Coturnix japonica: one gene and its partners. The protein of the gene in region 5 interacts with the protein of the main gene of each other region in a pairwise test. Links are inferred from orthologs where the notes say so. Each region holds a gene or a part of one and is shown on either strand. Other genes may lie near its edges. The genes, in order: KIFC3, AP1M1, RPL9, FAM161A, zinc finger and BTB domain-containing protein 8A, BYSL and KIF5B.

Region 1 (4,148 bases), on a different chromosome or scaffold from region 5:
GTTGTATAGGGACACATTGCCAGCCCCGGGCTGGGACCCACTAGAACCACATGGCACAGCACAACAGGGCATGACATGGCACAGGATGGCATAGGATGGTTTGGCATAGCATGGGATGGGGTGGCATGGCATTACATATGATGGCATGGCATGAAATGGAGTGATATAGGATGGCATAAGATGGCATGGAATAGAAGAGCATGACATAGGATGGCATAGCATGGGATGGAATAGCATAGGACAGAATGGCATGGAATGGCATAAGATGGTATGGCATAGGATGGGGTGATATGGCATGGTGTGGAATGGCATAGCATAAAATGGTATGGTATGGGATGACAAGATGGCATGGCATGGAGTGACATGACCTGGGGTGGAATAAGGTGGTATGGCATAGTGTGGCATGGGATAGCATGCTGTGGAATGGCATAGGGTGGCATAGCATAAGATGGCATGGCATGGAATGATATATGATGGCATGGCATAGGATGGCATGACATGGGATCGCACAGGATGGCGAGGCACAGCATGGCAGAATATAGCGTAGCATGGCATGGCACAACATGGGATGGCATAGGATGGCATGACATGGCACGGCTCTGTCCTAGCACAAGGTGGAAGAATGAGCAGCAGCCTGGCGATTGGCTCAGCCCAGATAAGAGGCTCCTTTGTACTGCAGAAATGCTGCTATCACGTGCAGATCTCTCTGCTGCCATGGTTACTGCCTGCTGCAGTGCATGCAGCACAGCGGTGTGACCATGTTGAGCTGGGACATGCAGCATTAGCATGGCTCTGGGTCCTGCTGCAGCACTGGGCAGTGTCCCATCGCTTTTTACACGAAGGCTCTTTTCATTAAAGTGTTTTCCTGTGCGCTAATTACGTTGGTTTTCCTTCTGTAAATGAGCCCGATATGATCTGTGTGTCTTGGCAAACAGCCTCGAGAACAGTAACCAAAGCCTTTTTGTTTGATCGCTGTTTGCTTTGCAAATCTCCCTGCTCTCACCGTTCCTGGCTGCCTTCAGACAGCCTGCACGTGCGGGTTGATGGGAGGGAAATGGGGCTCTGTGTCATTCCTGCTGCAGGAACAGGAAAGGTTTGGGTGTTCCTGAGACCCTGGGGTGGATGGCTGCACTCAGGGAGCAAACGTGCTGCCATCTGAGCACTGTTATCTGCAGAGGGAGAAAAGTCCACCTGTCCACCCATCTAAGAAATAGGTTGTGTCAGCAATTTGCAGGGCTGGGTTTTAATCTGCTCTTAAGGCACCGGCAGACAGGAGCAGAGGAGACGTCGCTTTCTCCTCCACTGCAGACAGAGTTGCTCTGCAGCAGCCGCCCTGGGGGCCCTTTGGGGAGCAGGCAGTGCCATGCATGCGCTGGGTGCTCTGGCTGCACTCTCAGTGCTGGGCTGGACTAAGGACAGCAAATGGAGGAGCGTGGCTCTGCAGAGCACCAGGGGACTGCCAGGAGCGAGGCGGTGGGCAGCAGGGCCCGGCCCCCAGGTGAGAGACATGGGGTGGGAGCGATGGCAGTGAGCTGCAGTGTCCATCCATCGCCATGCAGCTCCAGGTGCGGGTGTAGGGCTGTGCATTATAGATGAGAGCTGTGAATAATGCATGGCAGGGTAAGTTTGCAGGCCGAGCAGTTGGGAGGCGACAGAGCTGTGCCATTGCTCTCCCCTTCCAGAAGGGCACAGCAGCACTGCTCTTCCCACAGAGGCTCCTATGGCTGCGTGTCCCTGTGGGATTCAGCTCTGAGCAGCCAAAGCCACGCACTCAGTGTCCCTTAGTGGCACGGCTGCTGACATCAGCCTCCAAACTCAGTTCCCTAAATTATTCACAATTACTGCTTGAGCGTCTCCTCCAAAACCAAACGTGCTTCCGAGGGCACTAAAAATAGACAGCTTCGCCGAGGACGGGATGCCTTTTTTAAAGGAGACCGCTGCCATCCTTTCTGCCTGTATTTGCACCTCCTGGCTCAGCTCCTGGGGAGAAGGGCAGGGATGGGGCCAGGCCCTGCAGGGACCCTCCAGCTGCACAGCAGGAGAAAAAGACAGGGCTGCTGATGTTGGGTGGGTGAGTGGGGGCAGCTCCGGGTCACCTGAGTGCTGCCCTATCTCAGCATCGCTGCCTGCGGGTTGGGTTAATTCCCACTGTGAACTTGGAAACGAGTACAAATTTCTCAGGAGCACACTAAGACTTAATTAAAACTCGTTAAAGAGCTCAGATGGCAACGAGGGACTGTGGGGTTTCGTTAGCTGCTCCTGTGGGCTCAGCACGGGGATCCCCTCACTGGGGCTCTCAGGGAGGAGTGGAGTTACAGCACTGAGCTGCGTTATCATTAATTGCTCTGTGGGGATGATTCTCGCTCCATCTGATGATCCTCCCGGTGGGAATTTCCTACAGAGAGCACCCAGGTGTGCCCACGCCTGCATTCCTGCCATCAGTTTGCTGGAAGGGAATGGAGGGGGAGGTTAAACTTTGGCCAGGATATCGTATTTTCCCCCCATCTCCCCCGAGGTGTTACAGATGTAGGTTAAATATTTGCTCGGGGCAGAGCAGACTGCAAATGCAAAGGGCCCCCATCGGCACAATCAATGGGGCTTCCCTCCATCCACACTCGTGGGCAAATAGGGGGGAAATGGGAATGAAGCCGCCTGGCTGAGCCGATCCCTCATTGCATACACACGCACAGGAGGTGGCAGCGGGGCTGGCCGCCCTCCTGCTGCTCTCCCAGCGCTCATTGATCCCGGGCCGGCACTCGGATGTCTGCTCCCAGGCTGGCAGCGAGGAGGGATGCTTTGCAGACGGGGAAAGAGCTGCTCTAAAAGGAAGGGCAGAGCCCGCGGCGCCGCGTTGGAACGTGGAGAGAAAGCAAAGGCAGCACGCAGTGAGCTGGGGCTGGAGAGAGGGGGGTGGGGGGGCAGCCCTATTGCTCGCGCAATATGAGGGTGATAGAGGGGCTGCTTCCAATGCGAAAGAGCCCTGAGGGTCGGGATTTCCATGCTCAGCCCCGAGTACCATCCTTAGGATAAACCCCACCGGCCCGGTGGGCACCCAGATCTCCTGGTGCATTGGGGTCCTGCTCTGGGAGCCGTCCATCTCCCCTCACCCATTTAGTCTCTTCTCGATGCAATTGACGCAACGTACGCCCGCTGCATAATTGCAATGCCATCAAAAAACCTGAAGCATTCAAAGGACAGGAAATGACTTAACGCCCAGAGCTATTTGCATAAACATTATTTTGCCCTCACAGCTCGTAAATTAAGGCAGTGACAATACGACATTTAGAGTCGCTGCTGGAATGCTTACAGTCACCTCGTGTCCGCCCGTGTCATCGCTGAACCAGCGGCAGCCGCTGCACGGACACGGGGAGCCCTGCGTGAACACCTACAGCACCCACAGTGGGGCTGAGAGAGACTATATGGGGCTGAGAGGGGCTGTGGGGGCTGGATAAGGCTATGAGGGGCTTTAAGGGGCTGAGAGGGGCAGGTCGGGGCTGTGTGAGGCTATGTACAGCTGAGAGGGGCTATATGGGGCTCTGTAGGACTGAGAGAGGCTGTGTGGGACTACGAGCAGCTGTAAGGGGCTGAGTGGCAGAGTTGGGCTACGTGGGGCTGAGAGTGGCATTGCGGGGCCGTGCATCCCCCAGGCACCGCCGCCCGTCGGGGGTCCCGGGCGTTACCAGGGCAACGAACCGGGGCGGAGCAGCCGGTGCCGACGCCCGGGTGGGCGGGACCGGGGCGGGGAGCGGAGCCGCAGCGGGCGGCCGGTGAGCGGCACCGGGAGGGAACCGGGAGCGGGCGGTACCGGGAGCGGGCGGGGCCGGGCCGGGCCGGGCTTCCCTTTGTGTGCGGGACGGCGGTGGGAGGGACCGGGGTGCGGAGCGGGACCGGCGGACTTTGCGAGGTGCCGAGTCGCTCTCCCTGCGGCAGCCGAGGGGTCGCGGAGCCGGGGACCCCCCGTGCCATGCCGGCAGCCCGCCCGGGCCGGGAGCTGCCCCTGCAGCGTGAGTAGCGCCCAGCTCCGCGGAGGGGCGGGGGGAGGAACCGGCAAGCCCGCATTCTTCGCATTGCTGCGCGGCCGGGGAGCGGGAGCGAGCTGCAGAGCTGCAGGGGCGTGGGGTGCCCTGCGGGTTGCGCGTCCTGCTGCT
Region 2 (4,170 bases), on a different chromosome or scaffold from region 5:
CCGCCAGGGGTCGCTGTGGCGCTGGGCGGCCGAGCGATGGCGGACTACGAGGCGGTGCAGCGCGGGCCGCTGCGGCTGAAGGGCGGCGGAGCGGGGCTGGGGGCCGGCAAACGGTGAGCGGCAGGGAGAGGGGGGAACCGGGAGCCGGGCCGGGGGCTGGGAGCTGAGCGGCGTCTGTCCGCAGGAAGAAGAAGAAAGCGAAGGACAAGGCCAAGATCCTGGAGCAGATCGTGAGCAGCAAGAAGCAGGAAGAGGAGAAGAAGCGCGGCCTGGATAAGCGGACCCCGGCGCAAGTGGCCTACGAGAAGATGCAGGAGAAGCGGGTAGGGCCGCACTGCCCCCGGGACGTGGGGCGGGTCGGAACCCCACGGCAATAACTGTGATCTTGTGTCTTCTTCCAGCAAATGGAGAGGATCCTGAAGAAGGCCTCGAAAACACACAAACAGAGAGTTGAGGTGAGTGGAAGTACCATCAGCTGGGCAGCGCTGTGGGGAGGGCTGCGCGATGGTGAATGCTCCAATTCTGAGCGCTCTGTTCCTTTGCTGCCCCTCAGGATTTCAACAGGCACCTGGACACTCTGACGGAGCACTACGACATCCCCAAAGTCAGCTGGACCAAGTGAACGGGCGGCGTTTCGGGGCCTCGGGTCAGGAGTTGTGCTCACACCAAACAGGGCTGCCGTGTAAACCTCCGTATTCATGATACTGAATATTTCATATGTCTTCGGAACATTTATCACCTTGTACTGCCGTATTTCAGTTTCAAAATACTCAACAAAACCTCTTCTTTGGCTGTTGACTTATGGGGTGTTTTTCAGTGCTCAAAGCTGAACCCAATTGCTGTGAGACAACAGGAGAATGTTCCTTTATTTGTCCTATGCCAGCAGCTCTTAGAAGAAGCAGTCTGTGGCAGCATTACATTGTATGAGCTGCTCTTATCAGTGGCAGAACTGTGTAATTCCTATATAAAATCTCTGAGTTGGGGCAGTGGTGTCTGCTGTATTCTACAATCCTTATGTCTTTACTGTAACTTATTAAAAAGCTCCTTTTATCCATTATTTCGGTGCTCCTTTCCCTGCAGTGAGGGTGGTGTGCTGCATGCAGTCTGTATGGCTGCATTTACAGCTCTCACAGGTGATGTGAATCACATCCCAGACCCTCACACACTAATTCAACCCAAGCGTTTTCCCTCTGGTACCGCTGACCCGTCCCGGGGCTCCTCAGCCTTCCTAACTGCGGACTTCAGCCGGCCGCGCACTACTTAACGTCAGCAATCGGTGCCTTAAGTGCTGTTCCGCTGCCGGCGGATCACTGCGCGTATCCCTCCGCGCGGCCGGACCTTGTGCAGCCGCTTCCTACCGGAAGTGGCGGGCGGAAGCGGAAGTCGCTGTGACTGTGATCGGGCGCGGCGGGCGCGGCGGCCCCGGGCGGCGCGATGTCGGCCAGCGCCGTGTACGTGCTGGACCTGAAGGGAAAGGTGAGGCCGCGCTGCGGCTGTGGGCGCCCTTCACCCCGAGCTGCCGAGAGCGTCGGGCCCGTCCTGGGCTCGGCGGGGCCCGGCACCGTGGGGCTCTCTCGGCCTCGCTGCCCTGCGGCCGCCGCTTCCCCTTCCCGCTCGCTGTTTGCCCCGAGCTGTGGGGCGGTCCCGCCTTGTCCGAGTCGGGGAGCGGCCCTGCCTGCACAGCCCCGAGCATCACAACTGCGGTCAGTAATATCAGCCCTAATGGGAGGAGGCTTGTCCCAGGAGAGCGGTGTGTTTTTCCATCTCAAAAGTTATTATTATTAGGGTGTGCGTAGCTGTGTGAGGAATAACACTAGGAGATACGACTGCGTAGCTTGGGGATTTGCGTTCAAATTGCAACATATAATGGCACTTTGGTTTGCGTTTGTAGTATGTATAGACCATTGATTAAAGCTTGATATGTGGGTTTTTCAGTTAAGAGGTATTTTAACTATCCCCTGTGCTGGTCTGGCATGGTAACGTCATCTCTCAAAGGAAAAGTGTAAGGAATTGTTCTTTCCGTAGGTTCTCATCTGTCGAAATTACCGTGGGGATGTGGACATGTCAGAAGTGGAGCATTTTATGCCAATCCTTATGGAAAAGGAAGAAGAGGGAACGCTTTCTCCTATTCTAGCACATGGAGGAGTTCGTTTCATGTGGATTAAACATAACAACCTCTATCGTATCCTTTGTGCTGCAGGCAACCTACGTGTGAATCATTGAATGAATCATAGAATGACTTGGGTTGAAGGTACCTCAAAGATCTTTCAGTTCCAACCCTGCTGCCTCAGCCATGGCTGCCACAAACTAAATCAGGCACCAGATCAGGCTGCCCCTTTTACAATGCTTTTAAAAGCACACTCAGTAAAATGCTTTTCATCACACCATGACTTTGAATGCGTGTTCCTGAACATCCTTTATTAGTTGTTGCAACTTCTAAGAAGAATGCTTGTGTATCACTGGTGTTTTCATTTTTATATAAAGTAGTTCAGGTGAGTAGGAAGTTTTGGATTTATTTCCCATCTATTTTTCAGTGTGATCTAATAAAAATGCATAGAGCTTTCACTTTTTTTTTTAAATAGAATCTATACTATTTTTCCTTTATATTTGATTATTTGATAGAAATGTCTTCCTAACCACTAAGAATGGAATTGATATCTTATAACTGAGTAGGCAAAGGATGTGACACAATGCTGTGAGTAGTTGCACATGACCCGAGAACACAGAGGAAAACACTGATGTATGAATAGTGCCATATATAGGTGCTGTGTTGGGTTAATTTGGAACTGGCATCACAACTGTTTTTCCCAGCATAAATATTTTTTGTAATGATCAGACTTATTTCTTGGTCTCTTTAACCCCCTTTTAATTGAGGTGAGTTTCCTGCTGCTAATCTGGACAGAATGTTTTTAGGAATTATGAGTTTTGTTTTGGTGATTTATTTATTTTTTCCTTTTTTTCTTCCAAACTCTTGTTAGTTATAGGAATACATTCAGAATATGCTGTAGTTCCTCAGCTCATGTCCTTCTTTTTTTCCTTCCCTCTCGTTCTTTTTTTTGTTGTTTCAGGTTTTTTCTGAATATTTCAAGGAGTTGGAAGAAGAGAGCATTAGAGATAATTTTGTTATTATTTATGAGTTGTTAGATGAGCTTATGGATTTTGGTTACCCACAAACCACTGATAGTAAAATTTTACAAGAGTAAGTATCAGTCTTTATTGCTCATATTTGTAAAGTCCTTGGGAAAGTCTTTGTATTTTGCATGCAAACAAATGTTTTGGGTTCCTCCTCTAGTTATCAAAATATTTAATACTTGATAAAGTATTATAATATCCAACTTATTTATTGATGATGTGTATCTGATATAAAAGACACTTCAGATTTTTCAGAGTATAATTTGTATTTTTTGTTCTAATTCTGTGCTTATAAAGGTACATCACTCAGGAAGGTCACAAACTTGAAACTGGAGCTCCACGTCCACCTGCCACTGTTACAAATGCTGTTTCATGGAGATCAGAAGGGATAAAATATAGGAAGAATGAAGTGTTCCTGGATGTTATAGAGTCTGTTAACCTTTTGGTGGGTACCTTTTACTTGAACTTTTAATGAGAATTATTAGTAGAAGTCTTGAGAAGAACTTACTGTCTGAAAACATATTATATATTATATATTAAAAAATCAGCCTAACCATGATTAGTGTGCTGGGATGCTGTCTGTCATTGAAACTGACAATCTGTAATGACAGCCAGAGATAAATAATCATTTACTGGAACTTGTGCTCTGTGCCCAGTAGTCCCAGAGTTGGTTTCCAATGTGTCCTTCCTTTCTCTTTCAGTCTATTCCCACTTTGTCCTTAGTCTGATTGTACTGTGTTGGATTGGTTGCTCGGAAGAAAAGCATCCACGGAGACCCGGGGCTTGAGGATGGGGTGGGATTGCTGTTTGATCTCATATCATATTGTGTTAGGGCAACCTTTATCTTTCTTTTCATTACCCTTCAGGTTAGTGCCAATGGAAATGTATTACGGAGTGAAATAGTTGGATCCATTAAAATGAGAGTCTTTCTCTCAGGAATGCCAGAGCTCCGCCTTGGTTTAAATGACAAAGTTCTCTTTGATAACACAGGCCGTGAGTATTTCAGCAATATCTTTTGAAATTGTGATGGGTGTTCTC
Region 3 (4,194 bases), on a different chromosome or scaffold from region 5:
ATCCATTTCCATTTTGTACTATATAAGCCCAGAAGCAACAACTCCTCAGCTGAGTAACTGCCTTATTAGTTAGCATAGATTGTCATTAGCACTTAAATGTACACATTTCACAAGAGATAATATTCACAAGACCACGTAAGACATAATGTCTTTCTGTCTTCCACAGAAACAAACACAGAACAAAAAGCCATCATCATTTCTACTGGAAAACTTGGTTTGATATTCGATCTACCGTGTGCAGGTTTAAACTTCTCAAGGTGTTTTTCAGTTTATTGTAATTCTTGCCCATGGGAATCTCCGTTTTCAGCCATGGAGGAAGTCGTAGCCTGAGCAAAAAGCAAACAAATGTCAACATCAATACATTATCTACATGGTAAATTTCCATTAATTACAGAATCACAGAATGACCTGGATTGGAAGGGATCTCAAGGATCATGTAGTTCCAACCCCCCTGCCTGGCAGGGCCACCAGACATACATATTTACTAGATCAGGTTGCCCAGAGCCCTGTCCAACCTGGTCTTGAAGGTTGGTCTATATTAATTATATAGACCCACTTCAATTTGTTACATATCCAGTGAGAAAGGGCACTGGAAGCTTTGAGACCATCATCTGTAATGCTGGGATTTCACAGCACACCAGTGCAGAGCACAGCAATTAACGGCTGACTGCAATGCCATGTACCTTTCTCCTTTCTGACGCTTTAAGTTGCCTTTATACTCAGCCCACACGCTCTTGTCTGCCAGATCTCCCGATAGAAAGTCTTCTAAGTCTGGTCCAGTTTGGAGGGCTTTCTTTGTCTCCTCAGGCAAAGAACTTGATGTTCCGTACTGGTTACACACGTGGTTCCCTGACACCTAAAAGAAAAGAACAGTATAATGTAATGAATTATAAAGGACTGACTGACTCCCTTCAGCTATCACAGAATCACAAAATGACCCGGGTTGGAAGGGACCTCAAGGATCATGTAGTTCCAACCCCCCTGCCTGGCAGGGCCACCAAACATACACCTTTACTAGATCAGGTTGCCCAGGGCCCCGTCCAACCTGGTCTTGAACACCTCCAAGGACGGGGCATCCACAACCTCCCTGTGCAGCCTGTTCCCCAGCAGCGCTAAGCGGAGCTCAAGGGCCGCTTGTCCGACGCGCTGTCGATACGGTGACTGACGCAGCCAGTTGCCCCCCCGCAGGCGTTTCCCACCATCCACCCACCCGTGCACGATCCCCCATCCGCAGCAGCACGCTCCGCGCTGTGGTACCGGCCGCAGCCCCGCGGCTCGCCCCGCTCAGCAGCGCCATGTTGCCGCCCCGCTGCCCGCTGTCCACCCTCCGTCCCGCTGCGGCTCGCTGCCATCGGAGCTCGCTCTCTCTGGCCTGTCAGACGTCGGTCTCTGCGTGATGACGTCAGCTGCTCGCGACCGGCTACAAGAGCGTGATGACGTCACACGCCGCCCCTTTCGGCGCTGCGCGGTGCCAGGTGAGTGTGGGCCCGGTTCCGCATCCAGCTCCATCGGCGGCGGACGGGCCCCGCGCCGCCCCGCCGGGCTCACACCGCCATCCCGGGGCTGCGGCCGAACCGCCACGGCGCCCTGAGCGCGGTCCGACGGGGAAAGCCGGCGGGATGGCGCCTGCTCCGACGCCCCCTCCGCCCCTCCCTGCTCCGGGCCCTGCTGTGGGGAAGGATGCGGAGCCCGCGGCCTCCTTAGCGCCTGGGGCGGGTCTGCGTGCGGGCGGCTGTAGCGGCGGTAGTTTGGGGTCGGGAGCTGCCGGGACAACGCAGCTGCGGGCCGCGGGTACGTGCGGGGAGCGGGGCGGTGCGAGGAGCCGCTGTTCCTCCTGGGCTGCAGCTTGTGGTGGTTGTCGTTTGCAGGATGAAGACCATCCTCAGCAACCAGACGGTGGAGATCCCTCCGAAAGGTACGTGTGCGCTCTGCTGGAAGGCCCGACCTGCTGCCGGCATCGCAGCTGTAACGTGCGTCTGTCTGTGCTCGCTTTGCAGTCACCGTGTCCCTGAAGGGCCGCACGGTGATCGTGAAGGGCCCCCGGGGGACCCTGCGGAGAGACTTCAACCACATCAACGTGGAGCTGTCCCTGCTGGGAAAGAAGCGCAGGAAGGTGAGTTCCACGCGCTCTGTAACCACAGGGGGAGGGGAGCACGGCCTGCTTAAAGGCCTGAAAAGCAGGAGCTTCAACCAGGTGTATCTGGCCTTGTTAGCTCTGTTAATGAGCTCTGTTGTGTTTTCTGGGATAAGTTGATCTGCTGGGATGCTGAGGCCTGCTTGGGCTCCATGGCAGGCTTGAGGTTCTGTTGTGTCTTGGAGTGGTGCTGATTGTTTTTCTGTGTGGTTGCAGTTCTTATTGTTGCGAAGGGGATTCCTTGTTGTATGATGTTCTTTTGCCTGACAGGTTTTAGCTGAGTAAAAGTAATTGGCAAGTTACACTGGGAGGGCTGATCCCTAAATGTGTGTGTGATATTTTCATGTGGTGTCTTCAAGAAAAGAAAAAGGGGGAAAATGGCCGATTTTGGTAACTTTTAGTAGGCATTTAATTTGTCAGAAAAGCTCTGGATCCTAACACTGTGTAACTGAGAAAATGGATAGCTTGCGTTATAGTAGGCTGACTTCAGAACAACTAGTTTAGCGTTTAGTATTGGATGCCTCATTCTTCAGTTTAAGGCTTCTGAGCCTTTTTAGACCTGCTGCCTGTCCTACCTTCTCTGATGGGACAAAAAGAAGGAAAAAACTTCCTGTGTGTCTGTGGCTCACGATGTGGGACTGGAGCTGGGTTGGTCTTCAATGGTCTTTTGAAGAAATAAAGTATATCTGTGCTTTTAATAGCTTTTCATTTGTAATTTGTCACAAAGCCACTTTATTTTTAGTACCGGAATGTAACTTACAGCGTTGTTGTTGTTATTTATTTCTGTGTAGCTGCGTGTGGACAAGTGGTGGGGTAACAGGAAGGAGCTGGCAACAGTTCGCACCATTTGCAGCCATGTACAGAACATGATAAAGGGCGTGACGCTGGTAAGATGCTGTTCCAATGGCATTTGGGGGCAAAAATGGGCAGACTTGAATGAGCTTTTCCATGTATGTCAGTTATTGTGCATGTGAGCAGCTTTCTTTTTTCTTTTTGGATGTCAAACAAATTCAGGGGAAGGAAGGAATGAACAATAAGCTCTGAGTGTTTCTTGAGCTTAATATCTTTACTGGGACCAAATCTTCAGTGTATTCTGTTCCTAAATGTAACCAGTGAGCTTTATGCCTCTGTTTTCCTTTCTGGCTGAGTTCTGATTTCCAGTTTTCAGTGCCTAACGATGCCTTTTATCCTAGGGCTTCCGTTATAAGATGAGGTCGGTGTACGCTCACTTCCCAATCAATGTAGTTATACAGGAGAATGGCTCACTTGTGGAAATCCGAAACTTTTTGGGAGAGAAGTACATCCGCAGGGTGCGCATGAGGCCAGGTGGGTACAGCTGGACATACTGTGCTCAGCTATTTCTAATCGGGGTTCCAATCTATTCCCTTTCAGTACTGCCACTGGTAGCAAGGAACAGCTGATTACTGGAAGCAGCATTTTTCACTCTGTATTTATGTCACCTTACAATACATTTACCTCAGTGCAGATTGATGGTTAATATCCGTTCTGTTATTTATCCTTAGTAATGATAAAGCTAGTTAGTGCAATAGATGTTAAAAGGATCCCAGTGTTTCATTTCATTGTTGTTAGATCTTCACAGTGTTTGTTGGTGTAAATTTCTGGTGCTTGGTTTTAGACCAGTGTTTCTATTATAATCTTTGCAGGTCATCTGATTTCACTTGCATTTAAAGAGTTGTATTTTTAATTTTGTAATTAGCCAGGGACACGTCTCAGTTTTCATCTTACCCATTAGCTCTGTGTACATGAGGTTTAGCAAGAAGCCTAACAAGGCAAACATTGGAAGGACCTTGTTAAGCTTCCAGAAGGAATCATACAGTCACTGTGGCTGGAAAGAAATCTCTAAGATCATTTAGTCCAAACTACCACCAATATTGACAACTAAAGCATGTCTCTAAGTAGTGCATCTACCCTTTCCTTAAACAGTGAATCCAGCACTTTCTGTGCATTCTGTTACGATGCCTCACCACTCTTTCTGAGACGGAATTTGTAGCATCCAACCTAAACATAAGTCCAGCTGGTTTTGTAGCTGGCGAAGCGGA
Region 4 (2,762 bases), on a different chromosome or scaffold from region 5:
GCCCTAAGGTGACTAACTGCTGCAGTGATGCTCTGTGCCTTTAAATACCTAGAGAGAATTCTTTTGTACCTCTACAGATGCAATTAATTATTTCATGCAGTGAATATGGGACTTAATATGTTCAGTTGTACACCATTGTCAAGTCCTTACACTAAACACGGGGCTTTACTAATACTGGGTTTTCCTAGAAGCAGTAATGCACATTCCTGCACGTGTCAATAGGAAAGGGAAGAACGGCCTCAGTTTGTCAGGATACGCTCTAATCCCTTACAGTGGCACATACCCATTTATACCAAGCCCTTTTTCATCCCCCCTCCCCCCCTCCTCCATTTCTTTTTTAGTATTTCAAATTTCCTTTGCCGAAGCTTCCTTTGAAGTCTCGTGCCTGATTTCAAACAAACTCAGCCTTAGTTTGTTTCTCCACCCAGGAATTCGCATGAGGAAAAGAGAAGGCTGGAAGAACAACAGAAAAGGAACAGGACAAAGCAGAAACAAAGAACAAAGAAACTGCAGAAAATTGTCACGACTCGGGCTGAGGCCAACGACCCCCATCAGAGCCTCGCTCAGACCTCTAAATCCAAACTAAAGGCGTTCAGGTATTTCATTGCATCCCCTGAATCCTGAGCCTCTCTGCAGAAACTCAGAGACAATATGGAAAGAGGTGGGGAAGGCAGAAGAATCTATTATAAGAAACTATACTCAGGCAGGCCCCGTTAGCCTCACTGGACAGGACTTCTCGCTGCTTATCCAAGGACACTACTTCAGAAATAGTTTTGTCCACTGGTATTCCAAACAAGGATGTTCTGGCAGTGAGGCCCTGGCACAGTTGCCCAGAGAAGCTGTGGTGCCCCATCGCTGGAGGTGCTCAAGGCCAGGTTGGATGGACCCTGGGCAGCCTGAGCTGGTGGGGGCAGCCCTGCCCACAGCTGGGGGTTGGGGCTGGGTGGGCTTTAAGGCCCCTTCCAAATCATTTTATCATTCCATGAAGTTGAGGAGGTAAACCTAATTCCACTGTAAGACAGTAAAACCTTATGCTTTTTTTAACCAGGGACCATGCTTGTCATGGAGCAATTGGAAGGAAGTACTTCTTGTGTTACAGACAATTGACTTCTGTTGCACTGTGTTTCCTTTAGGAACTCCGCCAAGCAGAGAATGCAGGAGTATTTGCAAGAGTTACAAGAGATGGAAGAAAGAGTAAAGCAAAGGCCATTGCTCTTGGAAAGAGTAACACAGGTTGCCTTGTTTGTCTGTTTCTTAGACTCATCTCCAGTTAAGTGTGTAGGGAACTTTTAGTCAAACACTGTTAAAAGTTACATGAAGTTATTTAGACAAGTTTTTGTCCATTTTAATTTCTACTGCTCCATCTCCCTACAAATCACTTTTCTGTGACCAAGCATTCATGGTGCGTTTGCGCAGGGAAATGAGATGTTTTAAAGACATCCAGTGGTTCAGTTATAACACACACAGCACTGAGTCGAACACATTTACAGCAAAAGATGAGAGGTTTAATCTGGGAGAATACTAGGAGATCTCAAGCATTCCCCATGTCTACTGTAAAGCTGAGATGCAGAATTTTCACCCCTCTGTCTCAGTAAAACAAAGCATTGGTAGCACAGTCCCCGACTGCTTTTGGAATAGAGAGGCAGCAAGGCATAGACAGCCCATTCCTCCCAGTTCTCTCATCCCTCCCAGGTGGGTTTCCTGGCCCAGCAGTGCTGCAGGGCAGAGCATGCATGAAGGCTGGGGACAAGGCCTCCTCACCCAGCTGTCACTTGGAGGAGCAGAGCTTACACAGCTTGACAGAGAGATTCAGATTTGCACAGCACATCAAAACAGCACTGTGAGAGAGTAAAGCAATGTCATGTTTCAGAGCAGCAGCTCCCCCAGAGAGAAGCAGCCCTAGGAAGAACACAGCTGATGTTTCAGGTCTGTACCTTCTCCCCGCTCCCTCAATAGCATTACACAGTATTTACAGCGCTTTGTTACCCGGCGGATGTAGGGAGCAAATTGCATTTGAACCAGTACAGAAAAGGGAGGAAGATCTGCTATAAAGTTCTCAAGTAGTTTTGCCATTCTTAGCTGTAGTGAATAATCGAACTTAACTTCTCACGTGCAAATAATGAAACAGTATTAATATAAGCAAAAGTATCTGAAGACGGGCATTTAGCTCATACTTCACCCTTGTGTTTTTCCTACAGAATAATGCCAGAATAGCTGCAGAAAAATATTATTCTAACAGACTGAGAGCTCTGGGGGTGTGCCCAGACTTGGTTTCCAAGAAAGGACAAACAACTAAATTGCAAGAGTACTGCAGTGCTGAAGATTTTGATGCCAAAGAAAGGTAGAGATCACAGAAGGGTTTTGGTTTTGCTGCTGTGTACCGAGTAGTAATGAGAGCCATTTTTAATGCTGAGAAAATCATTTGCAGTACTTCCAAGTAAATATTGCAGCGTGTGTGGTTGTTTTGCCTGAATTGTTTCCTGAGTCAGAGAAGGGCTCTGGGTATGTTATACACCATGCACTTCAAAGAACAATTCAGGGTAATATTTTCAGTCTGGTTCTTTAACCGTGATTTCTGGAAGGCTGCTGAGAAGTCATTTCATTCTGCATCACCTTCACTTTTATTTCTGTTTTTTAAAATAAGCCTTATTTAAGGCTTCTCAATATCCATTTGCTGTTATGACAGAAAGGAAATGGAAAAGCCAAATATATAAGCAGTACTGTTACTTTCTAGCGTAAAAGCAGAGTCCAGCCTTCCCTCT
Region 5 (4,045 bases):
CCCATCACACCTACAATGGAGGGCATGCTGGGGTACTGCTCGTCTGCTTTTGGAGACTTGGATTTGCTGGAAGGACGGGGCGAGTCGCGCTCCTGCTGCGACACGGCTGAGCGCCTGGAGATCACATCGGAGCCCTGGCCATACTGAAACCCCACGTGAGGAGATTCCGCTTCTGCCTCAATCTGAACCTGGTCCTCAGGTTGAGAAATGTGGCCAGCAGGCTCAGCAGCCCTGTCCTCCAGTTTGCTGGATTTATAGTGTGGAATGTCAGCGGGTTGCTGCAGTCCCGGGTGTCGGGATTTCTTTATGGCATCCTGCCTTTGCTCGTGCTTGGACAGCTGCTGCTGCGTGTTTCTTTGAGAAGCTGGATAGTAGTTGAAGTTGCTCCAAGTGTTTCCCCTCATACACGTCCCTTGCTCTGGGTTTGGCTGTGGATGTGGGGGGCTGCTTTCTGCCCTCCAGCCCGCGCCGTACAGACACGGCTGCTCCCCGCCATTGGAATTCACCTCCTTGTCTGAGAGGCTGAAGTATCGATCCTTCTCCTTCTCACTGATGTCCAGAGACGACTTGATGAACGTTTTACACACGCTGATAACGTCGGTCATCTGAAGGTAACTGGCGGCCGACATCACCTCGATGACGTTCTGACCAGTGAGAGACAGTTTGCCCGAATACACAAAGTCCAGAATAACTGTGAAAGTGTCCGGAGAAAACGCCTGGAAGGTGGCGGTGGTGGGTTGAGTCATTTCCTTGGAGCTCTGCGAGAGCAGCATCTTGAAGTACCCGCTGCTGGCAAACAGCACATTGCGGTGCGCCCTGAACACTTTGCCCTCCACCAGGATGTTGCAGTCACAGAACAGCTCCTGCCTGCGCTGCTCATTGAGCTGCTCCAGGAGGTGAAACTGGTGGGACGAAATCTCCATCCCAAAGCAGATGTGCTGTGCTCTAGGAAACAAAGGGATTAAAACAAATTACAATCGTGAATTCCACGTTGCGCTGCTCGCCAAGGCCGGCAGACCCCATTTAATGGATATTCTGAAAAATAATCTTATTGAAACACACAAATATATTTGAATTAAATATCCCAATATCCACCACCAGGCATTGCTGTTCGAAAAGGATGGAACGAGTCCATGTGAGGCTGCCTGTGCTGTTTGGCAGCGATGTCAGAGCTCCGAATGAGCAGCAGCAGCATCCTCAGATGGAGGCTGAGAAACGCGGCGGCACCGTTCAGCCGTTCACCGTCATGGCGAGGAGCCCAAGGAGCCCGAGGAGCCCGAGGGAACCGGCAGAGCTGCGGCCTGTGCCCGGTGCTGCCGTTCCCGCACCGCCCGAATCCGGCCGGGCTCGAATCCATCCCCGCCCGAGGGACCAGAAACGGGAACTCGGCTCCGGCCTCATCCCTCCCGTCCCGGGCTGCCCCCATTGGCCGCCGCCGCCGCCACTCACCGCGCCCCGCCCGCACCGGCCGCCGGCAGCCCGTGACGCCCGGCGGCACTGTGCCCGCCCGCCAAGGCGCGGAGCCGCCGCCCGGTATCGGCCGCGATGCCGCCCCGGGGCCGCCGCCCCCGCTCCCGGTGCTTTAACACGGAGCGGCGCCCTCGGCCGCCGTCCCGCGTGGCGCTGCCCTCGGCTCCGCTCGGCTCCGTGCGGGACGCGCCGCCCGCCGCCCCGTGGCCCCGGCTCCGCTCGTTCCCGCCCCGCTCCCGCCGTGTCCCTGAGCCGCCCCCGCCCGCCCCGCCCGGCTCAGTCCCACTTCCCCCCCCGCTCTCCGCTCCCGCGCCGCCCTTTGTTGCCGCGCCCGGTTTCTCTCCTTCTCGCCCGGTTTCTGGCCGCCAATGGCGCCCGTTGGCGCTGCCGGGGCTCCGCGGCCCGCCCGGCTCCCGGCGGCGAACGGCGGCACGGCCGGACCGCGGGGCTGCGGCTCCCGGCGCCGTCCCGCCCGCAGCCCCGCACACGGGCTCCCTCCGCCCCGGCCGCCACTCACCGCCGGGTTCCGCGGGCGGCTGCCGCTCGCTCGGTCGCGATGGAGGCGCGGGCGGAGGGTGCGGGGTCCCCGGCTCCGCTCGGGCCACGCTCAGCGCCCCGTTCCCGCAGCCCCGAGCCCTGGAAGCCCGAGCGGGAGAGAAACAAAAGGTATTTGCTGACGTGGGCGTTGGACACGGACGCCCGAGGGCTGGGGACACAATTAAAGGGGCAACGCACCGACTGCAGCCACAGCCCAGCAGCTCCCGACGTCTGACCGCCCTGCAGCTCGCGCCGCTTCCGTCCCGCACACACACACGATCCGTCCGGGTGGGGCTGCGATGTCCCGGTTGTTTCTCACACCTTTATGTGTAACACGGGCCCAAATGACCCAAATCCTTCCTTAACGTATCTGCAGCTTCCCCAGGAGGAGATGCGATGTCTTTCCTTCACATCTCAGTTGTCTTTGGAAAAAGCAGCACAACGCCTTCAATCAACCTCCACCTCTCGACTTCTCTCGCTCCAAGTTTGACACCCTTCACCTTCCTCTTCTTACCACCAGCGTCTTTTCTCTCCTGACCCTCATTTGTTAATCATCCCTTGTCCCATGTTCTGCCTTAGCTGTATCCTCGGTTCCTTTCAACCTTCCCTTGCATAAACTTCAGACATTCCATCTTGAATCAATTTACGTTCCTTTCCCCATCGTAGCAGAAGCAGGAAGGCACCTAAAGGCTTTTTCCTCCCCCACTTTCATTCTCGCAGTCTCTCCTCTCTTCACATTCAATTTACGTCCATTTATGTTGGATCGTTGTATTTCCCCGCTTTTATTCCCCTTTTTAATAAACTTCTGTTGTTTTCTCAGTTCTGTCTCATTTCGAATTTTGCTGTGCAGGCCACACTAAAAATCCTTCATGTGTCTGTGTTCTTTCAGAAAGAGAACAGAGAGATGACAAAAGTCCAGCACAGCTTTGCATGAATTCCTATGGGGCGTGAGCCAGCCAAGGCAGGGAAGAATGAAGCAAGTGAAATACATGGGAATTTATAAAATCACATCAGGATCAATAGGAAGTGATTGTCAGCTGCTGATCCTGGTGTAAGGGGAGGTGACGGCAAATGAAGCGATAGCGGTTGGCAGCAACAGAGCAGCAGGATGTGGTTCTTCACCTGACATAGGCAGGCACAGGAGCTCCTTGTTGTGCAGTTGTGGAAGCGAAATGTGAGCGTTACACGAGGCAAGGGTACAGCTATTGAGACCAGGGTACAGCTATTGAGACCAGGGTACAGCTATTGAGACCAGGGTACAGCTATTGAGACCTGTGAGTTACCTGCCATGCACCTCTGTAAGCCTCCATGTCTGTAAGAGGAGCATTCAGGTATTAGTGCTGCTAAACGCCTCTTGTTTCCTCGCACAGAGCAGGCAGCTGTTGTGAGCAGGACAACAGGGCAGATGAACTCGTGTTTGTCCTGGTGTTACAGCCCAGCTCTGCAATCCCTGAGTTCACAAAGCCCTGGACAGTGGCTGCCAATAATCCATGTGCCTGTCGGTTCAACTAAGCAGCACCACTTGTGTATATGACATCCTACATCATGGTTTCCCCCCACTTCCATATCCCAAATAGTTCTTGTACTGAAAAATTCCTTCTGAAAAGAATAGATTGTGGGTATTTGTTCTGCACGACCCAGCTGACACTGCACAGACCAGGTGCTTTCCTGGCGATACCAGAGGGCACCGAGCTCAGCAGTTTTATCAGTGCAAGCAGGAGTTTAAGGGTTCTCCATCGGCTACAAAGAGGTCATAGAATTTTAAAACTAGGGGAAAAATGCTGTGATATCTCGAGTAAACAAATCAGATCTTTAAACCTGATACGAGTGCTCAGAATACTCAGAATAGTTCAGGAAACGCCCAGAAATTCACCCAGTGCAGCTGGGATCACAATGGAACAGAATGGGGGTTTTCTCAGACATCAGGACTCGTTTCGCCCTGTGCTGCACAGCAACACATCACAGCCATTCCAATGCTTACAAAATAACAATAATAATCAAAGCCAAAGCAACCCTCTGAGAGTTTTATTTTCTAGAC
Region 6 (4,234 bases), on a different chromosome or scaffold from region 5:
GCCACGACATCTCTCAGATGTGTGATGATAAAGCCTTGGGATTTAAGGACTTGCGGTTCCAGACCAGGGATTATGTACTAATGGACACCCAGAAAACAACCTACTAAACCAAAGCAGAAGCAGCCGGACTGCCAGGAAAATCTGGTCCTGGACTCAAGCTTAGGGTAAAACAAGCTTCTCTTTAACCCCAGCTCAGCAGCAGCTCGCACCACTACATCTGTGTTTATTCTTATGAAGCAAAACCAAGGCATTTCTCAATCCCATCCCTGTTAGCTCGGAACACCTGCCTGGGTAGATGCGCCATCATTATTAATTACAGACCAGTTAATAGGATTTGTGTGTTTAGGGAAACACATGCTCAGATTTTACAAGACCTTTCAGCACCTCATCTCAGATCTGGGGCAGCACTGACAGCACAGAGCTCTGTGACCAGGAGAAAGCAGCTTTAGAGCCAAAGCTGCAGCAGGAGGGCATTGAATGCATTAATACAACCTGCCAGCAACGAGTAACACAGATGATACATGGAAGGGATGGGGACTCAAGGTTTCTAGCCAAGCCTCCAACATGGGATTTCCCTGCCCTGGATTTCATACCCTTAAAGGTGATTCTCACCTCCACGGATATCCCGCGGGCGCTGGGGCCCATGGTGACGGTTCCCACCTTGACCAGGAAGTCGCAGTACTGGTACCGCGTGCCCCGGCTCTCGATCTTGTTTGCCTTGGCGTTCTGGAAGAATCCCTTCAGCTTCACCATCAACGTGTCGAAGTTGGCGTCCGCGATCAGGCAGGGCCCGTTTTCAAACAGAGCGAAGCAGCTGAGGGGATACTCGGAGTTGTGCATCACGTACATCAGTTTGCCCGTCTGCCCTGAAAGAAAAGCAGCGTTTGGCCCGTTCCTTTGACACCCACCCTTTAAACATTCGTATGGGTTGATAAGCGCCCCCAGCCCCTCTCAGCCTTCTCCTCTCCATGCTGACCAGCCCAGCAGATGCCCCATGTCCGCACTACACCCGCCCCCCCCGGGTTCCCACCTTGGCTGCTGATGGCGGCTGCCGTGTGATACGTCTCACAGTCCACCCCGAACGCTCCGTGTTTCTCGGCTCCCAGCAGCTCCAGCTTCTTGCTCAGCAGCTCCACGGTTTGCTGCACGCTCTTACCCTCCAACACGGGCACCTGCGTCACGCTGCGGGGCGACAAACAGCAAAAATGGCCGCGGGGCCTCCACAAAACCCAAACCCAAACCCAGCCCCAACCCCATCACCCCATCACCCCATCCATCACCCCATCCATCACCCCATCCATCACCCCATCCCCACCGGCCCCTCACCAGGTCACCCCCATGGCTCCGTCCCGGCAGTGGCGGTGCCGGTACCGGAAGGGGCGGGGCTGGCCGTGCTGGCGCCGGCGCGTCTGATCGCGTGTCGCTGTTGCGGCCATGCCGAAGGCGGCGCGTGTGGCGGAGCCGCTGCACGAGCAGATCCTGCGGGCTGCGGCCCCCACGGTGCGGAACCGGCGGGCGCGGGACGCGGGGCGCGATGCGGAGGAACGGGACGGCGGATACGTGGGGCCGCGGTTGTCCCGGCGCATCCTGCGGGAGGCCCGGAGGCAGCAGGAGGAGCTGGAGGCCGAGCACGGCCCCGGGGCGCCCGCACCGACAGCCCCGAGCGGGCGCGGGTCGGAGGAGGACGATGAGGACGAGGAGTGGCCGTCACTGCAGCGGGCGGCGGAGTGGGACGGGACGGGCGGCGGGGGGGACGTGCAGGTGGATCCCGAGGACGAGAAGGCCCTGGAGATGTTCATGAACCGCGCGGCGCCGCTCAGGTACCGGAGGAGGGGTGGGAATGGGCGGGGGGTGGACGGGGAGCTCCGGTTCCCCATCACCGACCCCTGCCGCCCCCCCAGGCGGACGCTGGCGGATGTGATCATGGAGAAGATCACGGAGAAGCAGACGGAGGTGCAGACGGCGCTGTCCGAGCTGTCGGGCCGCCCCATGCCCCAGCTCGACCCCCGCGTGATAGAGGTGTACAGAGGCGTCAGAGAGGTGAGGGCACTGCGGCCCCCCCGGCCCCACACACACCTTTGTGGGACCCCCCAGCTCCCGGCGGAGCAGTGCAGACAGCACTGCTGTGTCCCTCGGGTGTTGTGAGCACATACGTGCTGTGTGAGCACACGCAGTGGAGCTGCACAGGGAGCAGACAGGTTGCTTACAGCCTTGAGACAAACCCTTCCCCCTCTGCTTCCATTGAAGGTGCTGTCCAAATACAGGAGTGGGAAGCTCCCCAAGGCATTTAAAATCATTCCTGCCCTGTCCAACTGGGAGCAGATCCTCTACATCACGGAGCCCGAGACGTGGACGGCAGCAGCGATGTACCAGGCCACGAGGTGGGACCAGCTCAGTGTGCTCTGAGCTGTTGTTTTCTCCTTGTAATGGAACGAGATGGACAAAATACCATCGTGTGTCCTACAGCTGCTCCTCCTGCCCTGTGCCTGTGGAGCAGAGGGGATCCTGATGCTGGGGGTGGATGGCTCTGGAGTCACAGCTCACTCTTCATGCTTTGCATTTCACAGGATATTTTCATCCAACCTGAAGGAGAGGATGGCCCAGAGGTTCTACAACCTGGTGCTGCTGCCACGGGTCAGAGATGATATCGCTGAGTATAAGCGCCTCAACTTCCACCTCTACATGGCTTTGAAGAAGGCTCTGTTCAAGCCAGGAGCCTGGTTCAAAGGTAGGGGCTCCCTGCAGGGCTGCACTCCACCCCTGGGAACCTGCTGCAGGGCAGGGCAGGGGGAGGAAGGTGGAAAGGTGCCCATGATGCAGAGATGTTATTTCCTTGGGTTAAATGTGCCCTGAGAGAGCAGAGATTGAGCCTCACACCCCACAGCTCTGCCTGCTGCAATGACCAGTGGTGCCCAGCTCTTCTCTCCCCACAGGGATCCTCATCCCCCTGTGTGAATCGGGGACCTGCACACTGCGGGAGGCCATTATCATCGGCAGCATCCTCACCAAGTGCTCCATCCCTGTCCTGCACTCCAGGTAATGCACTGGGGCAGTCACTGCCCCTCAGCCCATCCAACAGCTCAGAGTGGGGGAGCTTTGCTCAGGGCTGATTCAAAGCCGTCCTTTTTGTGCCCTGCCCTCACCTGCTGCTCCCCTTGTCCCCACAGTGCAGCCATGCTGAAGATTGCTGAGATGCCATATAACGGTGCCAACAGTATCTTCCTGCGGCTGCTCATCGACAAGAAGTACGCGCTGCCGTTCCGTGTGGTGGATGCCCTGGTCTTCCATTTCTTGGCCTTCCGCACAGACCAGCGCACGCTGCCCGTGCTGTGGCACCAGAGCTTCCTGGCTCTTGCCCAGCGCTACAAGGAGGACCTGTCCTCGGAGCAGAAGGAAGCTCTGCTCGAGCTGCTCAAGTTCCACAGCCACCCACAGATCTCAGCCGAGATCCGCAGGGAGCTGGTGAACTCCAAGACACGGGACGTGGAGGGGCAGGAGCCGGCAGTGATGGAGTGAGGGGAGGAAGGAAGGAAGCACCACAGCCTGGCCTGGCTCCTGGGGGCTGCTGCACAGCTGGGAGCAGCACGTCCAGGGGTCTGGGAGCATCCAGCCCTGGGATCCCACTGCTCATGGTGCTGTAACCACGGGGCTGGGCTGGGCTCCCTGCGCTGCTTGTGTCAGGGCAGCCCTACAGCCCTGGCACCCAGGACAGCAGTAGGGCTTGTCCTGCTCCTGTTCTGGAAAATAAAGCCCGTGCTGGGTCCTTCCTGGAGCAGCTCTGACCTGCAGTTGCATCTTTGTGTGGCTGCATCCGTGCATCGTCCTGCCCTGTCCCCCTCCCCTCGTCCTGTCCCCAGCAGGGGGCAGAGCAAAGCCACCAACAGCGGCTCCTTGCAGCACTGCGCTGCAGCTGTCCCGGCTGCAAAAGGAGACCAGGGGCTGTGCAACTCCCTGCCCTCCTTGTGCTCTGGTCAGCAGCGAGCACGTTCCCAACTGTGCTGTGCATTAAGCAGCCTCTGTGATGTTGGGCAGAGGGGCTGGGGTTAAACATCTTCCTGTGAGAGGTGGGGGCAAGGGGCAAGGCCATAACCCACACGTGGCAGCTGCCTTGAAGTGCCACCTCTGCTGTAAAATCCAGCGGGGCATCGCACAAGGCTCCGCGCTTACCTGGGTGCTCACCTGGACACTACAGCTCCTGCAGATGTCCAGCTCCTGTCCTTGCTCCTGGAAGCAT
Region 7 (3,500 bases), on a different chromosome or scaffold from region 5:
GAATGTGGTGAGTGGGTGGGTAAAAGATGGAAGCTAGACTTGTTCTGCTGCCAGGAAGGCCGTCCCACAGGATCCTTGGGGGAGGGGAAGGATGATAATGAATTAAACATAGGCCAAATGGATCATTGAACGGTTACAGTAAGTTCAGTGGTAGGAATTGACTTAAGGCCCTTGGAAACCTCAGCTGTCTGCAAAGATATTAATAAACTCTGAAAGTTCTAGGAAATTTTCAGCTTAGTAAGATGAACTTAATAACTCATCTTTATGGACTGTCAGCTTGTTACAGCTGTTACCAAATCCCCAGTTCTTTTCATAAAGCTGTGTCAGAGCTTCCTCTTTCAGTGTTTTCCTAAAGAAATCTTTGGAAGGTTCCCTTCCTGCAAAGTGGCCTTTTCCTTCTGTTTACAGAGCCTCATTGTAAGGATATCATGCATGGGGAAATGTTCCTTGTGCTGACTGTAGGTGACCTGGATGTTTCCTTTGGTTTGAGATTGTTAACAAATACTATGAAGGCATATTGTGTGTGATGTGATACGAGTTGTTTTTAATAATTTGGGTTTACCAAAGCAGTGGAGAAGAATGAAGTTTTCTCAGAGGTATAGACACTAAGCACTGGTTTACAGTGTAAGTAGAGTAGAGGTCGTGTAGCAGTGTAGTTATGGCAAATAGTTTGGGTTGCACTTAAAAGCCAAACATACTGAATTCAAGGCCTTATTTGTAAGCAAACATGTGAAGATTTAGACACATACATAAGCCGATTTCCTCACTGCGTCCTTCAAGTACTTAAAATAAAACACGAGATCGGACCGAGACCATGTAGGCTGCTTCTAAGCTGTGTGAACAAACACCTTTCAGTTGTGCTTCCCAGGTAGTCTTTTTTTAACAGCCTTTCTTTCTATTTTGCAGTCCAAGCCATATATATTTGACCGTGTATTCCAGTCAAACACATCCCAGGAGCAAGTATACAATGACTGTGCTAAAAAGATTGTCAAAGGTAAGGTGGGATGAACTCTTTGTTTTTGGGAAACACCTTATTTGTGTGGGTTTTTATGTTGAAATCTGGTACCTTCTGTTGCTCCCGTTTACCTTCTGAATGTTTAATAACAGTCATCGTGGTTCAGAGTATAAAATCATCCTCTAGTTGAGGTGATATGATGTCAATACTGAGCCCACTTCTCCAGTTGTTTGCAGCATTTGATGATAATTACCTGTTAGTTTGATTTTTATTTTTTATTTTCAGATCTTGCTAGAGGTTAAAACAATTGGCCTTAAATTAATAAAGGATAGGCTTCTGTCTGTTTGAAAACAACTCGTATGAGTAGTTTTTTTTAATTGGTGTCAGAAAACAGTTATTTTTGTTTGGAGGAATGTAAGGTGAAACTTGGGAAACTTCATGTTTGTTTTGTTTTAACTTTGCAATTATGAGTTACCTGATTTCAGTGCTTATCAGAGTGTACTCTCTCTAAACTTGAACTGTCTAATGGCTTTGTGGCTTCTGGGGCTCAAGTCTTCTAATAGAGAAGGTTATACTACAATGAAGTACCTTATTAAGGAGTTAGGTAACTCCCTCAAAATAAAATTGATTCATTTCTTAAGTAGATCAGTACAAGTTCCAATTGACACAGCTTTAAAACAACTGTATCAAAGCCTTCTTAGGAGTGCGTAAACTATCAGCTGTTAGAGGCAAGACCAGATGAGTGAAGTGTTGAAGGCCCTTACCCTTCAACCTGAAACTCAGAGTTGAGTTGTTCATGGTTTAAAACATAAGCTTATGGCCAAGTGATAAGATGCTGGAAACTTTTAGCTTAGCTCATTCTCTTAATAATCAGATACTCCAGCTTTACTGTGAAGGCAGCAAATAATGTACTGCATAATACAATTTGTTTAAATGGTCAAAGGCTGTCTGTACAATGTGGCAGTTGTATTCATTTACTTCTTATTACCAACTCTCAAGTTGTGTTTTGCTGGCTGAAGGAGCTGCTTCTAATACAGCTTCTGGAAATGCAATCTGTAGTGACTGCATTAAAAGTGCTAAGGGAGAACACTGCTGCCTTCCTCTCCCAGCACCAAGTATTGTAGCGCTTACTTTTCAGTCACTGAATGGCTCAACTTGCTGAACATTTTAGGAATTGCTCACATTCTATTTTATTTGACTTTTGTTTAGGAGAAGGGAATCAGTCCTAATGAAAATATTTTTTTCCTCTAGATGTACTTGAGGGATACAATGGTACAATATTTGCTTACGGGCAGACATCATCTGGAAAGACGCACACTATGGAAGTAAGGCAACTTAAAATTATTTTCTTCTAATATTGTTTTCATCTCTTTTCACCACTGTGGTGTTATATTCCTAGAGATGAGATATTGGCTTGTTTTTATGAAATCATAGAATGGTTGAGGTTGGAAACTATCTTTTAAGATCAGTAGTTCCAACTACTCTGCAGTGGGGATGGAAGTCTTTCATTCGATTAAGTTGCCTAAAGTCCCCATCCACCCTAAATTTGAACAGTTCCAGAAATGAAGCATCTGCATCTTTCATTTTCTTTCCTATTACAAACTTTGGATACCTAAAATATTTTTCATATGTAAGAATGGCAGTTACTGTATTTATTCAGCTATCAAAAGCAGGATTGTTCATGGTAGATTTCTCATCTTTGTGTGTGACGTTTTTGAGGCTGTTCTTTTTGTTTCTAGCAACTTCTGGCCCTAAGTGGATGGCTAAGAGCTTCCTTTGCAGATAAACATAAGTGCATTTTACCCACCAACACTTCAGAGCTATCTTGTTTCACTTTTTATTCTGCCTTCAAATACTTTGTGTATTAATGTTTTTTCATTCCCTTTTCTAAAAGGGGAAGCTTCACGACCCAGATGGAATGGGAATTATTCCAAGAATAGTACAAGATATCTTTAATTATATTTACTCTATGGATGAGAATCTTGAGTTTCATATTAAGGTAATGGTTTCTTTATTTCCTATATTTAATCTATATTAAAATTGGAAGTAGTTTGTTGCGGAATGGATGTTTCATATCTGTTACGAATGCTTGTGAATTGGAAAATATAAAGACAAGTTATTTCAGAAACTGGCTCTACTCAAAGAATAATTGCATTAACACTTTAATCTTGTTTCCATTAAACATTGATGGTAGATAACTTGTGTCAATGCTGTGTATTTTAGTTTGTCCTCGTGGTTGTCAACTAGATATGGCAGTACATGAGAGGTTGTGGTTATTGTACTGAGTCCTTCTGAAGTACATTTTTGTGTTCTAATGCCATTTGTTTCACACTTCTAGGTGTCGTATTTTGAAATATACTTGGATAAAATAAGGGACCTTTTGGATGGTAAGTTTCTTATTTGCTTTGGGCATAGGAAGTAAACTGCTTGGTAGAGAGATTTAAAGAACAAAAGCTTTAGGATGATACTGAGACATATGTGTTATGTTAATAAGTAGCCCATCTCTGATATAGATGCAGCAAAATGAGACCACACGTAGCTAATG

The links.
Region 1: the proteins of zinc finger and BTB domain-containing protein 8A (region 5) and KIFC3 interact in binary tests that used the Homo sapiens proteins (3 or more experiments, as listed by UniProt). The two-hybrid records come from large-scale screens. The link is inferred for Coturnix japonica from reciprocal best matches to the Homo sapiens genes ZBTB8A and KIFC3.
Region 2: the proteins of zinc finger and BTB domain-containing protein 8A (region 5) and AP1M1 interact in binary tests that used the Homo sapiens proteins (3 or more experiments, as listed by UniProt). The two-hybrid records come from large-scale screens. The link is inferred for Coturnix japonica from reciprocal best matches to the Homo sapiens genes ZBTB8A and AP1M1.
Region 3: the proteins of zinc finger and BTB domain-containing protein 8A (region 5) and RPL9 interact in binary tests that used the Homo sapiens proteins (3 or more experiments, as listed by UniProt). The two-hybrid records come from large-scale screens. The link is inferred for Coturnix japonica from reciprocal best matches to the Homo sapiens genes ZBTB8A and RPL9.
Region 4: the proteins of zinc finger and BTB domain-containing protein 8A (region 5) and FAM161A interact in binary tests that used the Homo sapiens proteins (3 or more experiments, as listed by UniProt). The two-hybrid records come from large-scale screens. The link is inferred for Coturnix japonica from reciprocal best matches to the Homo sapiens genes ZBTB8A and FAM161A.
Region 6: the proteins of zinc finger and BTB domain-containing protein 8A (region 5) and BYSL interact in binary tests that used the Homo sapiens proteins (3 or more experiments, as listed by UniProt). The two-hybrid records come from large-scale screens. The link is inferred for Coturnix japonica from reciprocal best matches to the Homo sapiens genes ZBTB8A and BYSL.
Region 7: the proteins of zinc finger and BTB domain-containing protein 8A (region 5) and KIF5B interact in binary tests that used the Homo sapiens proteins (3 or more experiments, as listed by UniProt). The two-hybrid records come from large-scale screens. The link is inferred for Coturnix japonica from reciprocal best matches to the Homo sapiens genes ZBTB8A and KIF5B.

The regions. Positions count from the first base shown.
Region 1 is NC_029526.1:1,981,525-1,985,672, reverse strand, and holds the start of KIFC3 (kinesin-like protein KIFC3), read left to right. Parts: upstream 1-1,348; 5' UTR 1,349-1,363; coding exon 1,364-1,498; intron 1,499-2,804; exon of another isoform or gene 2,805-2,885; intron 2,886-3,702; exon of another isoform or gene 3,703-3,767; intron 3,768-3,810; exon of another isoform or gene 3,811-4,004; intron 4,005-4,148. UniProt on the Homo sapiens protein: Minus-end microtubule-dependent motor protein. Involved in apically targeted transport. Required for zonula adherens maintenance.
Region 2 is NC_029543.1:3,468,908-3,473,077, reverse strand, and holds the start of AP1M1 (AP-1 complex subunit mu-1), read left to right. Parts: upstream 1-1,370; 5' UTR 1,371-1,434; coding exon 1,435-1,476; intron 1,477-2,025; coding exon 2,026-2,182; intron 2,183-2,424; coding exon 2,425-2,492; intron 2,493-3,068; coding exon 3,069-3,199; intron 3,200-3,429; coding exon 3,430-3,577; intron 3,578-3,998; coding exon 3,999-4,125; intron 4,126-4,170. Other genes in the region: protein FAM32A, read left to right, coding at 37-113, 185-323, 402-455, 554-622. UniProt on the Homo sapiens protein: Subunit of clathrin-associated adaptor protein complex 1 that plays a role in protein sorting in the trans-Golgi network (TGN) and endosomes.
Region 3 is NC_029519.1:62,572,151-62,576,344, forward strand, and holds the start of RPL9 (60S ribosomal protein L9), read left to right. Parts: upstream 1-1,394; 5' UTR 1,395-1,475; intron 1,476-1,868; 5' UTR 1,869-1,869; coding exon 1,870-1,915; intron 1,916-1,997; coding exon 1,998-2,113; intron 2,114-2,925; coding exon 2,926-3,021; intron 3,022-3,327; coding exon 3,328-3,460; intron 3,461-4,194. Other genes in the region: LIAS (lipoyl synthase, mitochondrial), read right to left, coding at 233-326, 684-856, 1,211-1,297.
Region 4 is NC_029518.1:13,371,497-13,374,258, forward strand, and holds part of FAM161A (protein FAM161A), read left to right. Parts: coding exon 1-8; intron 9-428; coding exon 429-596; intron 597-1,133; coding exon 1,134-1,233; intron 1,234-2,198; coding exon 2,199-2,341; intron 2,342-2,762. UniProt on the Homo sapiens protein: Involved in ciliogenesis.
Region 5 is NC_029538.1:4,572,794-4,576,838, reverse strand, and holds the start of zinc finger and BTB domain-containing protein 8A, read right to left. Parts: upstream 2,801-4,045; 5' UTR 1,988-2,800; intron 1,411-1,987; exon of another isoform or gene 1,063-1,410; intron 946-1,062; 5' UTR 924-945; coding exon 1-923. UniProt on the Homo sapiens protein: May be involved in transcriptional regulation.
Region 6 is NC_029541.1:4,735,622-4,739,855, forward strand, and holds BYSL (bystin), read left to right. Parts: upstream 1-1,434; coding exon 1,435-1,820; intron 1,821-1,901; coding exon 1,902-2,040; intron 2,041-2,247; coding exon 2,248-2,381; intron 2,382-2,567; coding exon 2,568-2,728; intron 2,729-2,933; coding exon 2,934-3,036; intron 3,037-3,167; coding exon 3,168-3,516; 3' UTR 3,517-3,782; downstream 3,783-4,234. Other genes in the region: MED20 (mediator of RNA polymerase II transcription subunit 20), read right to left, coding at 613-866, 1,031-1,182, 1,327-1,436. UniProt on the Homo sapiens protein: Required for processing of 20S pre-rRNA precursor and biogenesis of 40S ribosomal subunits. May be required for trophinin-dependent regulation of cell adhesion during implantation of human embryos.
Region 7 is NC_029517.1:12,865,640-12,869,139, forward strand, and holds part of KIF5B (kinesin-1 heavy chain), read left to right. Parts: intron 1-906; coding exon 907-994; intron 995-2,206; coding exon 2,207-2,280; intron 2,281-2,849; coding exon 2,850-2,954; intron 2,955-3,293; coding exon 3,294-3,342; intron 3,343-3,500. UniProt on the Homo sapiens protein: Microtubule-dependent motor required for normal distribution of mitochondria and lysosomes. Can induce formation of neurite-like membrane protrusions in non-neuronal cells in a ZFYVE27-dependent manner.